2 linked regions of the Drosophila melanogaster genome follow. The protein of the gene in region 1 purifies or fractionates together with the protein of each later gene. This does not show direct contact. Each region holds a gene or a part of one and is shown on either strand. Other genes may lie near its edges.

Region 1 (7,450 bases):
ACAACTCCTCCCCCCCCCAGCACTCCCAGCGTCGTCCCACCCCTCCTCCATCATGTTAATTAGTTTAAGTGCATAGTTTGTGCCGGCTGCCTTATCTCTTATACTAATTGCAATGTTTGCTTAGTTGTATCATAATTTGTTTATCTCTCTAGCCACCGCAAACGAAGCCTTGCTCGTTTGGCAGCTTTGCCCGTTGTACATGATTTTTAAAATTTAATTAATATTTCATTTATACAAAGGCAGACAGGAAAACTGACTGCGTCTAGTTGAAGCAGTCAAATGAATTGTAAAACCATTTTTATAATCAAAATGTTAGCTAATCGAACTGTGGTGGGTTTAGCACACCATTCGTATAGTCACAAGTGAATGATATATAAAAATGCATTCAGTAATGAAATTTCGATGTTTTATTCGCATTCAATGAGGTGGCAAACATGGTAAAATATTCCAACGAGGGTTATTAACCTCCAACATTGGTGCATCTACATTTTCATCACCGAATTGGATCGAGTTACTTCATCTGCGATTTCTCAAGCGAAATGGGTAAGTTTTTTAAATTAAAACGCCCCATTAAAATACACATACACCGAATTGGTTTATTTCACGCTTGTTTATTGATTTTCAGATTTCATTTGCGTTTTTTCATGCAATATTTGATTTTAGAATTTAAATCTATGTATTAACTCTGCGTTTACAAAAACTATGCTGACGCTCTTAATTATATTTGTTATCTTCTGGTTTGAAAATGTATATAAACGTAGTTATGCTTGCTTTCTTCTTGTTTATCAGTTCAATATTCTCCGTGTGTAAAATTAAAGTTACCGATCCTTTTTCCTCAGTTTTCCCTTATTTAGTGTATAAAATGCATATAAAATGATGGGTACATGATGTCAAAGATGCCGTTGACACTAATCGTGGAGGGGAAGGAAGAAGTTTGGCGAGCAGAGTTCATAATAAATAAGTATTATATGTATTTTATAAATATTAAGCGCCAATATGGCCATGGTTTTTCGTTCTCATTAATATGTGTATATATGTAGTTATGCGCGTAACTTATTATTGTGTACGGTTTGGATTTGGGTTTGGGTTTGGGTTTGGGCGTCGTTAAGTGATCTTTTATATATAATTAACTTAGTTATATGCTAATGCTTAATACGCATAATGCCAATTGCTGCAATTTGACTAAGTGGACAACACAGGAAAACAAACTATACCTACATTGTATATGCCAAACTAAAATGAAATTTTGCAATATGGGTGAAACTATTTTCAAATCAAACATTCAACAAAACTCGGATCAAGCCAATAAAACGTAATAGGAGGTAATATTAATTTTAAAACAAATTTTTCCCTTTTTTAATACTTTTGGCATTTTCATTTTCGCTGCTGGAAAACTATCTCACTGCCATATCCATACGTTTCTATGCTTTCTTTTTCCAGGCCTAACCCCGAACCTCAGAGAAAAAACTTAGGCTAATTTCAGTTAGAATTTGTTTGGACAGTCTTAATGCTGATTGGGGATCGGCCTTGGACCCCTAGGAGGCCTTGGCGAACTGAATGACCGAGCTCATTCGCATCACCTTGGACCCGGGTCCATCCCCGGCGCCAACGGAAGCGGCACCACCGGCGGCGGAGGTGCCATCTCCGCTAGCCTTCTCCGAATCCACCTGACCGTCGTCGCCCTTGTTCATGTAGTGCTTGCGCTTGCGCAACGGCAGCGTCATCACGTTCCGGTCGGCCATCATCAGGGAGTCGCTCTCCGGCGAGGAGCTACGTTCCGGCGACTCCGTGCTGGAACGCAGGCCGATGGCCGCCTCCACGCGTCGCACAACGTCCGGATTGGGTAGAGCGGATCTGATGGGAATAGTAAGCAATTCGATTTAGTTATACTCTTAGACAAAAACACAAGCATCCGGCTTGGGGGACCAAAATACTCACTCATATTTGGGCACTGGTGCATAGCCCTTGTGCAGCCCGTGGCGAGCGAGATCACCACGCTTGAAGTGCTCGATCAGCACGGTGGCTTCATGGGTGTCATCGTAGTTAGCCGCTAGATCGCTGACGTGCAGAGTGGGCACCTGTGGCTGGTGGCTTGGCGCCGGCTGCTCCGTTGGGGGTAAGGAGCCGTGGCCGCGGCACAACTGCATCATTTGCCAGGCGGCTGCGTGCACATCCTCATCCTGCACCTGGTCATCGTTGTCGTCATGGCGACGCGCAATGCTGGCCGCTTCAAGCAGGGCAGGATTGATGGTTAGACCAGCGGGTTGTGGCTGCAGTTCGAGTAGACTTGGCGGTGCCTGGTAGTAGTCCACAGTGCTTTCTGGCAGCTGACCCTGGACCTGTTGCATGCTCAAATCTGTGGGCTCCTCGTCTGCATAGGTGCTGTGGGCGGGCTGGGCGCTGGACACGCCGCTGTCCCGGCTCAAGGCATCCGCCTCCATCTGGACGGGCAGGTAGTGGGCCGATGTGGGTGGTGGCGAGGCCATGCTGCTGGCCGATGGCGAGTATGTGGAGCTGAGTGAGCTGGGCGAGAGCGGCGAGGAGGTAGGGATGGAAAGGGTGGCTGCAACGGTTTTGGAAACGCGCGGCTGGCGAGCCTGGCGAGGTTTCTTTGTGGCCGGTGGCGAGCTGGGCGGCGAGTGGTTGCTGCTCTCGGAGTTGCTGCTGACTCCTTGCAAGGACGGCGATCCGGCGGAGGAGCCTGCGGACGTTGATGCTGCTGCCGACGCAGCCGCCGCCTCCGCTTCGTCGTCGGGTACTTCGTTGGCATGGCCCTTGATGTGGGCCTCCATCTCCTTCTTGTTCTTGAACGTCTCGTCGCAGATGGTGCACTTGTAGCACTTGGAGCCGTAGTGCTGGACGCGATGCAGTTTCAGCACATGATTGTAGCCAAAGTCCCGGAAGCAGATGTCACAGTGGTAGGGCTTCTCGCCCGTGTGCGTTCGCGAGTGCACCTTGAGCTGCTTGGAGCAGGTGAAACCTTTGCCGCATCCCGGCTCCGGGCACTTGTACGGCTTCTCGCCGGTGTGCGTGCGCATATGGATCACCAGCTGGCCGGACTGGATGAATGTCTTCTCGCACACGGAGCACTTGTGTGGCCGCTCGCCGGTGTGAATGCGCATGTGGCGGTGCAGCTTCCCGGAGTGTTCGAATGCCCGTCCACAGACGTCACACTTGTACGGACGCTCCTTCGTGTGGATGCGCCGGTGCACCTGGAGGTTCTCCTTCACGCTGAACAGCTTGTGGCAGAACTCGCACTCGAATGGCCGTTCACCAGTGTGGGTGCGGTAGTGGCGGATCTAAAAGCGAAGGAGATATATTACTTATTAATATCACTGATATGGTGGTCCAAATATTTCAAATCTCTGTTTTCGTGACACTTACCAGCCTGGCGGGTACGGCGAATGTTTTCTGGCAAACATTGCACTGATAGGGATCTGCTCCGGCGGCCACGTTGGCCAGCGGCTTGATGGTGGGGCTCTTGGGAATGCCCACCGGCAGACCGGCATCATTGAGCTCGATGGCCGCGGTTGAGACGGGCGCAGCAACGCCGGCTCCAGAGGCGCCATTAAGCGACAGATCTTGGTTCTTCGAGTGCGACTTGGTGTGTGAGGTGTGGGCGGACTTGCTGCCAAAGGTCATGCCACACTGGTCGCACTTGAATTGCGGTTTGCTGGCGCTGGGCTTGCGCACCTGCGACACCACGGCTGCCGACGCTGGGAATCCGCCGACGGGCTCTGTCTTGATCCGCTGGGCTGATGGAGCTGCTGTGGGTGCTGCGTTCGTAATACTTTCATGTTGCTGCTGTTGTTGCTGCTTCTGATGCTGCTGGATGGCCAGTTGGTAGCTGACAAACTGCTGCTGCTCCTGCTGGTGCTGGTCCTGTAGCTGCAGTTGCATTTGTCGCTGCTGCGGCGTCTGCAGCAGCTCGAAGTGCTCCTGTTGGCCGCCGGATGGCGGAACTCCTAGGCCCACGCTCGTGGTCGTCGCTGTTAGTGGAGGCGGAACCTGGAGGCAGAACTGCGCCTGACTAGATTGTTCCGTTTTTATAAGCAGCTGGTTGGCGGAATAGTAAACCATTTTGGTTGTGGCTGAATCTGGAAGAGGGCGAAAAAGAAGGAGCCGCATTAGATTTTTGACCATAGTTAACTAGTTTGATACCTGACCAAAATAGTTGGTTCTAAATAGACTTAAGTAATAATACAAGAAATTATAAATTAGATACTGCTTATTAGTTATATTAGCAACCTATTGTTTGGTTTTTGTGGTTCTACAAAGCCAGCTTAACCATAGTATAAGGTCTAACTCCTTTGCCCCCCATCAATTCACAATCTGCGTCTCAGGAAAAACACGGAAGCAGATAGAAAGTGCAATACGGGTGGTTAGGAAAAGTCTCGTAAGAGCCAAAGGAAAAAAGGGCGTAAAGGGGAAAACCCACCCCGTGAATTTGTGCTACGCACTTTCTGTTATTGCCGGCCGGGGTTTTCCAAAATAAGGAAAACCTAGCGAGAGCTTATGGGGGGAGGAAAAGCGAAGGCGCAGGAGAGTGAGAGCCAGAGGAAATGGGAAAAATTTCATTGAGAACCCTGCCTCGAAAATGTCCCACTTGGGATATTTGGGAGATAGCATTACGAATCGTACGGTTTCCAACCGGCATTTCCCGTTGCCATCCTGCTCGCTCGCACTTTCTGTATCAGTCGCGCTGTTGTATTTTTTTTTTTTTTTGTTATGATAGTATGAACGAACCCCACAACTTCCCCCAAAACAAAAATTGCGTATACCAAAACAAAATGGCGTCGTGAGGGAACTTTTTCGGTCTGAATTTTTAGGAAAAGCATCTCAATTACCTTTCGCCGGCGATTTTTTGACGGCAACAGCCTTTGCGGGACTCTTGGATATATCGAGCAGTTCCGTGCCCGATTTCTTGAGAACATCCTTAATCCAAATTTGTTTGGGTGCCCAAGATTTTGTATCATTCTTGCTTTCAGTCATCTTGCTACTGCTCCATACAGGTTTTCCTCCTAATAATACTTTTTGATTGTTCAAGTCAAATCATTCAATTGTAAGCAAGTCTAATTTATAATATAGTTTATAAGTTTGAAGAGATCTTTTCTTATTCAATGTGTATACTTGTAAATTTATTCATTGATTTGAGTTTACAAAATCAGACTTTAGCGCTGAACTCGTGTCAGTTTTTCAGTATCAGTCCCTCGATTTGTATATCAGCAGTCTTAAGATTTATTCATTCATTTAGCTCGTCTCATGACATTTTTAGACAAGGATTTTCATTTGACGCGTGATTTTCTCCTTGATCAGGTTCTTCTTGATGATTTTGATGATTTTCTTCAAGTCCTTCGACTGTTGCACGGGATAGGTGTGTTGGTAGTGTTGCATATTTTGCGGAGGCTGCTGTTGGTGCTGATGATTGCGGTATTGGTGGTGCTGACCGCCCTGGCCCGAGCCCTTGTTCATACGCATTTTTCTGAATGATCTCAAAATATCGTTCATTGAAAAGTCGGTCATTTTCGAGGTGTGGACCACACACACACACACACACACAAGCACACGCACACGCACAACACCCGTACAAACAACACTTAACGGAGTAGAATGGGATTCAGATTATGTTCACATCGCCGCTCCCGAGGTTTTCGGTTCGATGGTGTAACGGAGACTGGTGGGTGAGTTCCCGAAAAATCTGCCTCAAACCCTGTCACGGAAAAATCAACCACCACCAACAAGAATGGTCCCATTGGATCTGAAATTTCCCTCAATTGGAAAATGTTTGAGTGCGATGACAAGGGAAATTTTCGAGTGTTTCTTTTTTTTTTGAGTTTGAGTGGTTTCGGACTTTTCCGATGACATTCTCTTTTATGGAGCACCAAAATTTCCCCGAGCTCAGGGAAATTTCATTGGTATCTAAGTTATCTGCGACGTTTATTATTTCAGACTAATTGAAAATATGTACATATACAAGCATTGAATAAACTTTGAACTCTGAAGTGATTTCATTTAAGTGATGTAATTAGTTGGGTTTTCATTGATAAGATTCTAGCATTTGAGTCATAAATGCAACGAATTAGGCAATAAGTTCTGATAGTTCTTATCGCAGTCTTATAGTTATTATTCTTTAAAGTACCAAAGTCCAACTTGCTTGCCACACTTAGCATACCAATTAACTAACAATTGCGGCAACTATACGTTTAGAGGCTACAAAATCTCAGGGATATATTTTGAGCAGTCCATCTATAGAAAGCCAACGACCAGTTTCCACCTTCAACAAGCGAACATTTATAAGAAACCCTCCCAAAAAACAGAATGAGCACGAGAAGCAAATGTTGAAATACAAAAGTTTCGGTGAAGGCAGGTTCAAAAAACTTTATCGGCTTTCGTTGTTATTGTGTCTGAATGTTTATTCGGCTGGCTGTGCGTTAAACTAGCGCAAAAGTTCATTAACATTCGACACAAAAACTATTTTTGAGTGAGTGCGGTGTTGTTGGAGGGCAGAGAATGATCACCGATCCCCCGATCCCCCGATTCGTGCGCTCGTGCTCTTTTGGGTTGCCCGACCAAAAAGTTTCTGAAGGTATGAACGACACAATATTTTTTGAGGGGGAAAGACACAATTATCTCTTATGAGTTGCTTCCCAAAACGGGGGGCAGCTAGAATGGGAAAAACGAGGGGAGGGGATTCAGCTGCGGTTCGGAAAAGTTAAAGTGCCGTTATTTTGTTGGGATAGCTCTGAAATAAAGCGACTTAAAACTGGTCTTTAATGGAAGTGATCGCCGTGTTTGGATAGATCAGTAAAGTTGCTTGGCGGTCAGTATGAAAGCTAGATACAAACAGATACCAGATTGAACGTGAAACGCTCAAACGAAACTAAACTAAACTAAAAGAAGTATTTATATTAAAATTATAATTAAATTCACTTCGGTTCACTTCCAAAAATACACCCTATTTACACATGCATAGCTATTTTACACGTGGAGATACATACGCAGAGATACAGATACATAAATTGAGTTGGTTTGGATTCGGTGTTGCTTTTTGGTGTCTTCTTTGTGGACTTTTGATGGGGTCATTGAACACTTAAATATAAGCAAATTGTAAGCTTTTCACTTCGCTTCCCCCCTCGAATCGGATTTTTTTATAAAATTACTTCTGCTCCCGTCGAGAGTATCTATTCCAACCGGAGGATCGCGTTAACATTTCACATACATATTCTAGCTAAGGTTCGATGAGCCCCGATAAGATAAGGCAATATAACACGACACGTTCGCCGTTTTTCAATTCATAGGATGTCCCTCAATGAAATTGTACGCTAAAGTTAGGGCTCTAGGCAGACTTATCAAACGAGAACTATCAACAGCGATAAGATATTGAAATTAAGCGAATGAAATTGGAGTGACTGGAAATTCCATGGTGGGGAATATGGCCGGAAGGATTGAA
Region 2 (5,593 bases), on another chromosome or scaffold:
ACCTAACGACCCATTTCATTTTTTAGATAATTTGGTAAAAATAATTTTTTGCGAAATTTTCACTTTTTTATAAGGGGTTACATCACGTTTTTTTTCGAAAAATGGTGAAATTTTAATATTTTTAGCTGGGAATGCCACTGGATAGGAAATTAAGCTACGAATTCAACAAGGTATGGCATTCCACATTTGATCGACTATTACAAAAGTTGTGGTTGTGCTAATGTAATAATATTTATCATGATAGCTTTAAAGGACTCATGGTCGATAATGCCCGAACGCACCCTATAATTTTTCAGTTGGTATTCACGCTTTTTGATATTTGGCATTCGAGTGCGTTCTATTCGCTTCATGCCGCTCAGTCTAGCTTCCGTTCGATTGGGCCAATAAAATGCGCGTAAAAGTGAAAATAGATTTGGAATGTGGGCGAACTATAAGTTGCTGGCGGTCCGTAGCAGGAGCAGGGAGAACGGAGGTCGTACGCTTTAGAACTGATTTACGTATTACCGCAGAGAATGGGCGTGGCAGGACGAACCTACTCCACTTTGGAACATGTGACAGTGCGTGACATTCGCGTCGGAAAGTGAACAGCTGGGAGTGGAGCCACCCCATTTTTGGTCATGGTCCTGGTACTGGTCCTTCTCCCCACCAGGTCACGTGTTGCGACGCTCACCTCGTTTTGCGGCCTGGTGTCTCCGACCCCTTGGCCCCTGGAACACGCAACTCATTGGCCAGCGAAGCCCTAATTTATGTCCCGGCCACACGCACTGCCATATGTAGTTAGACCCGCAGAAAGTGGGTTGCACTGCCAGCCAGGATTGTAGTACTCATTTCTTATTCTACGTTGTATGCATTTAGGCAACACTCTCCAGGGCTTACAGTCCTATCCATGAGCGGCCTATTACGTCGTGCACTCATTTTTGGCCAGTGTAGCAGCGTGGGAGACAAACACGCTTGGTATCAATGGCGCTGCATCTCCACAAATAATTTTGCCAACCGTTCAGATTGTCGTAGGGCGACAGAAATCGGATGAAGATGGTGATAGCGATGGGATGGGGGTGGAGGTGGGGATGAGATGGGGTGGGTGGTGCTCCTATGGCTTCGTTTCAGTTTATGGCGTCCATAACCAACCGCAAGCAGACTTCGGTGAAGGGGGCTGGGGGTTTCAGCCACAGTGAGGTGTTTGGCGAACAAATTGACAGTGGGAAATGTTCTTTGATGGCTGAATGGCTGATGGCTGATGGCTGCATCAGTGCCTTTCACTATGCCCCTCGCGATCGTCAACCCCCGATGGACGCCCACTAGCGAATCCAATTGAACGCAACAATAGCAACCACAGCAGCGGCAGCAACAACCACACGGCAACAACAGCTCAAGCACAAATTGAATAAGAGTCAAAAGCAAAATCCGCTTTGCGTCGTCCCAGCCAAATGTCTCTATTTCCCAGTGGCGCACCAAGTGGCTCCACGTTCCCGACTCCGAAAACGTTTCGAAACCGCTTATCGCGGAATCAAAACTTTTGGCTTCTCACAAAAAGTGTTGAACTTTTGTGTCAAGCTGCCTAAAAATAGCCCGAATTTTGGCCAAAACAATGAACACAATGCTCAAGTTCTTTCCTTCGGGGAAAATGTTATTTTGGATTTCGTAAATGGGAACTTGGCGGCGAGTGTGTGTGCTTTCAGTGTGCGTGTGCCTTGGAAAAAATCATATTTGACTGTTGTCGCTGTTGTCCCCTTGCCCCCCCATTTCCCGTTCCTCACCTCCCGGCCCCTTTCGTCAATCGCCTTCCCCCGTTCCCTGGTGGATGCCTCTAATTTGTGTTTTTTTAGTTGTGTCTAATGCTCTCCGAGGGCGTCGGTGTGTCCACGTCATAAGCGTCGCTGCTTTGCTGGGTTGCTTCCACTGTCGGCAGTCAGTTGTTGCTGTTGTTGCTGATGTGCTGGGTGGTGTTGCTGCTGCTGCTGCCGCTGCTCATGTTGCTGCTGTCGTCGCTGTCGCCACTATATCGTTGCTATTCCCGCGTAGTCCGCCCAGCTGCGCGGAGACATCTTCACTCGCCGAGTTGCCGCGCGTCGCGTTGGTTCGCCGCAGTTCCGACCGACCTCCCACCGCAGTCGCCATGTCTACTGCTGCCCAGTGCCCGCCTCCTCGCCCAGGCGGTGGTGGAGGAGACACCACACTGGCCGCCCTGAGCGCTCACATGGCCCCTTGTCGCGACACCACGCCCGAGCAGCTGGCGCAGCTGATAGACGTCCACTTGGGGGATCTGCGCCAAGAGCAGCCCAACTGGACCATCAGCTCCTCCACGGTGGCAGGTCGTGGGGTGTTTGCCACCCGAGACATAGCCGCCGGCGAGCTGATCTTCCAGGAGCGAGCCCTAGTCACCGGTCCGACGGCGAGAAAGGGCCAACTGAGCAGCTGCATCTGCTGTCATGAGACCCTGCCGCAAACGGGATTCCTTTGCCGGCATCGCTGCACCCTGCCCGTATGCGAAACCTGTTCGGATTCCGAGGAGCACCAGGCGGAGTGCGAGCACTTCCGTCGCTGGCAGCCCAAAGACGTGGATGCGGAGCAGGAGCAGGTGAATCCTATGTCGCTGAGGATCCTCACCGCAGTGAGGGTCTTCCACTTGGGCAAGGAACAGCGGCATCTGGTGGACGCCATGCAAGCGAATGCGGAGCGCGCTTACCGGCGGGAGATCATCCAGGCGGCCCAATGCTTCCGGAACTTCCCCACCACGGATCGGGTGTTCATGGACCAGCTGTTCCGGATCGTGGGCGTGCTCAATACAAATGCCTTCGAGGCTCCTTGCCGCTCTGGCGGCCACGAGACGCTACTGCGGGGTCTGTTCCCGCTCACGGCGATCATGAACCACGAGTGCACCCCGAACGCTAGTCACTACTTCGAAAACGGTCGACTGGCGGTGGTTCGGGCTGCGCGCGATATTCCCAAGGGCGGTGAGATTACCACGACCTACACCAAGATCCTCTGGGGCAACCTCACCCGGAATATCTTCCTCAAGATGACCAAGCACTTTGCCTGCGACTGCGTGAGGTGTCACGACAATACTGTGAGTACGGTACCAATAGGAATCCTGGTCTCCTTGGGTAATCCCTCCTCCCACCATCTGCAAGCTTAGCTTCTGACTATGGTCATTTCTAGGCTGATGGAGTTTCTTCATGGTTAATAGCAATCTTCGCCAAACTTTCCACCAATCCTCTTTTTCTGAACCTACCTGATAGCTATCATTCTCCCTATCCGCCATCTGCATCGCGACCATCGCAATATATTTGTCCCAAAACAAAAAACAATAATTGCAATTTGAAAAGCTCTGAATTTCGGGCACATTTCTTGGCCAACGCCGATGTCACCGGCGTTGTGAAAGTGCGCGTGTGGTAGGGATGTGAGTGGCATGGGCATATATGTATGTACGTACGCGATCCACATATCCGGCCGGCCACATCTATTTATGTGGCCGCTCTCTGCCGCTCTGGGATGAGTTGAATAATGGCCTCTGGCGTTGGCAGTGGCCGCCGCTGGCCAGGCCCCCTGACACAAATGCGTTCCCTAATTAAATTAGTTATATGATTTGCATCAACCAGGGCCCAGGGGCGCGCCCAAGGGGGGGTGTCCATCAAGTGGGCAAAGGGGCAACATTTGGTAACAGGCACACGCACTTTTCCCTGCTAAAATGACTGCCTGATGGGCATAGTAACAAAATTACTTGTTGGGAGTTGGGTGAGCTTGAGACATCTTTGTCACAGCCCTGCAGTCGTTGGACAGTTCCATTCTTGCTATTAAATATACACCTTAAACGCACTCTTGTTCAAGACCTCCGAGGCATACATTATCAGTCCATTGATCCTATTTGCCTATATGCCTTTAATGTGGGCATCCAAAGTTCCCGGGCTACTAACACACACCCCCAAAATTTACATGAGCATGACACACAGAATGTTAATTTTGATTTCGATTCTGATTTCGATTTCGATTTCCATTTCGATTCGGAGTGGAACCAACTGTACGCCGTGAATGGACAGAGGCGGACGTGAACCCGCCGGATCTTTGACTGCAGATTCCACCCCCGATTTCCTGATTCCCCCCAAGTCCTTCGATTCACTGACCATTGTCTTCTTGCAGGAAAACGGCACCTACTTGTCGGCGCTTTTCTGCCGGGAACAGGGCTGCCGTGGCCTGGTGATTCCCGTCCAGACTCGGACACTGCAGCCGGACTGGCGGTGCATCACTTGCGAGAACGTGTTCCCGCACGCAAAGATGGCCAAGTACCAGGACTTCGCGCTGAACACCATCAATAACCGTATCAACTCGTGCAGTGTCCAGGACATGATCCACTTCATCAACGAGCTGTGTCCGCGCTTCTGTCCCTCCTCGAACTACGTGCTGATCGAGGCCAAGCTGAATGTGATCTGGAGGATGACGCGGTTCGACCACGAGGAGTACACTCCGGAGGAGATGGGCCACATGGATCGCTACCGCGAGGAAGTGTTGGCCATCCTCCACAAGCTGGGAGCCGGAGAGTGTACCCTAAAGAAGCTGATCACCGGGGAGATTCAGTGATTCATATTTAGCTTCAAAACTTCATTTTTTTTTTTTTAGGTGTGAATGAGTGAGTGCTTTTGTGAATGCGTACTTTTCGGGGTGGCGTGAATCGCATCCGAGCCCTTTGTTGCTATTTTATTCGTAGTCACTTAAGAATCCAATAAACACCGAATCCTTTCGAACTATATCTGCAATCCGTTCTGTATGTGGACCCCTTTCGAGGAACGCCTCTGTGCCCTGACAATAAATATGAATAGCCAACTAGCCACGAAGATCACCGGTCTGCGATTGACCAACAAGTTGAAAATTGCCACGATGTAGATTCTCTGGGCTCTCATTCGTTTTTTTGGGATCGTCTTGGCAAGCACTGTAGTATGTGAAAGGAATGCTGTGTTGACGAGGAGCAAGTCGACTGGGCAGTATGTATATGGCATGTGATTTATATGGTACATGGATTATCTATTGCATTTCTGGGGCTATTGGCCAAAACTGATTGCAGTAATCTTAACGCGTATGAATTTCTAGAGCCTGTATCTTTCGTATTTGATTTCGTAAAAAATAGATTGTTTCAAGCACAACGCTACTTACCCGCACATTTCATATTCCCATTGTCAGGGGCATGTGTGGTTTTTCAGCCAATCGATTTCAAAATGGACTTTTGTGGTTTTCTGTTGTTGTACAAAAGCTTTCTTTAATGGCGCATACACAGACGGACACACACGCACAGGCATACAGTCATAATAGAATAACAATAATTTGGTATGGGTACATGTACGTGTAGGCATACATTTGCATGCACTTGCAATGGGGGCCTTTAATGGGGTCTGGGGTCAGGGGTCAGGGGTCTGGGGTCTGGGGTCAGAGGTCATGGCTCGGGGGACAGAAGCCGGCGGTTCGGTGACAGTCGCCCGTACACAATTATTCGGATATGCCATAGCTGCGGCATACACGCATACCTCGGTACATGGCTGGCCTAGGTCTAGGACTTAATCTAACCAAGTGTCGTGTGCATCAGTACGTATCTAGATTTATAGTT

What was found.
Region 2: the proteins of Kr-h1 (region 1) and SmydA-8 purify together in Drosophila melanogaster (affinity purification with western blotting; one study listed by BioGRID). This does not show direct contact.

Annotation. Positions count from the first base shown.
Region 1 is NT_033779.5:6,089,642-6,097,091, reverse strand, and holds Kr-h1 (kruppel homolog 1), read right to left. Parts: upstream 5,681-7,450; 5' UTR 5,524-5,680; coding exon of another isoform or gene 5,272-5,523; 5' UTR 4,993-5,271; coding exon 4,848-4,992; intron 4,098-4,847; coding exon 3,385-4,097; intron 3,300-3,384; coding exon 1,939-3,299; intron 1,855-1,938; coding exon 1,536-1,854; 3' UTR 594-1,535; downstream 1-593. Other genes in the region: CG45075 (uncharacterized protein), read right to left, coding at 5,272-5,523. UniProt on the Drosophila melanogaster protein: Plays a general role in the hierarchies of gene expression leading to metamorphosis.
Region 2 is NC_004354.4:2,205,008-2,210,600, reverse strand, and holds SmydA-8 (SET and MYND domain containing, arthropod-specific, member 8), read left to right. Parts: upstream 1-1,922; 5' UTR 1,923-2,116; coding exon 2,117-3,067; intron 3,068-4,137; coding exon 4,138-4,575; 3' UTR 4,576-5,086; downstream 5,087-5,593.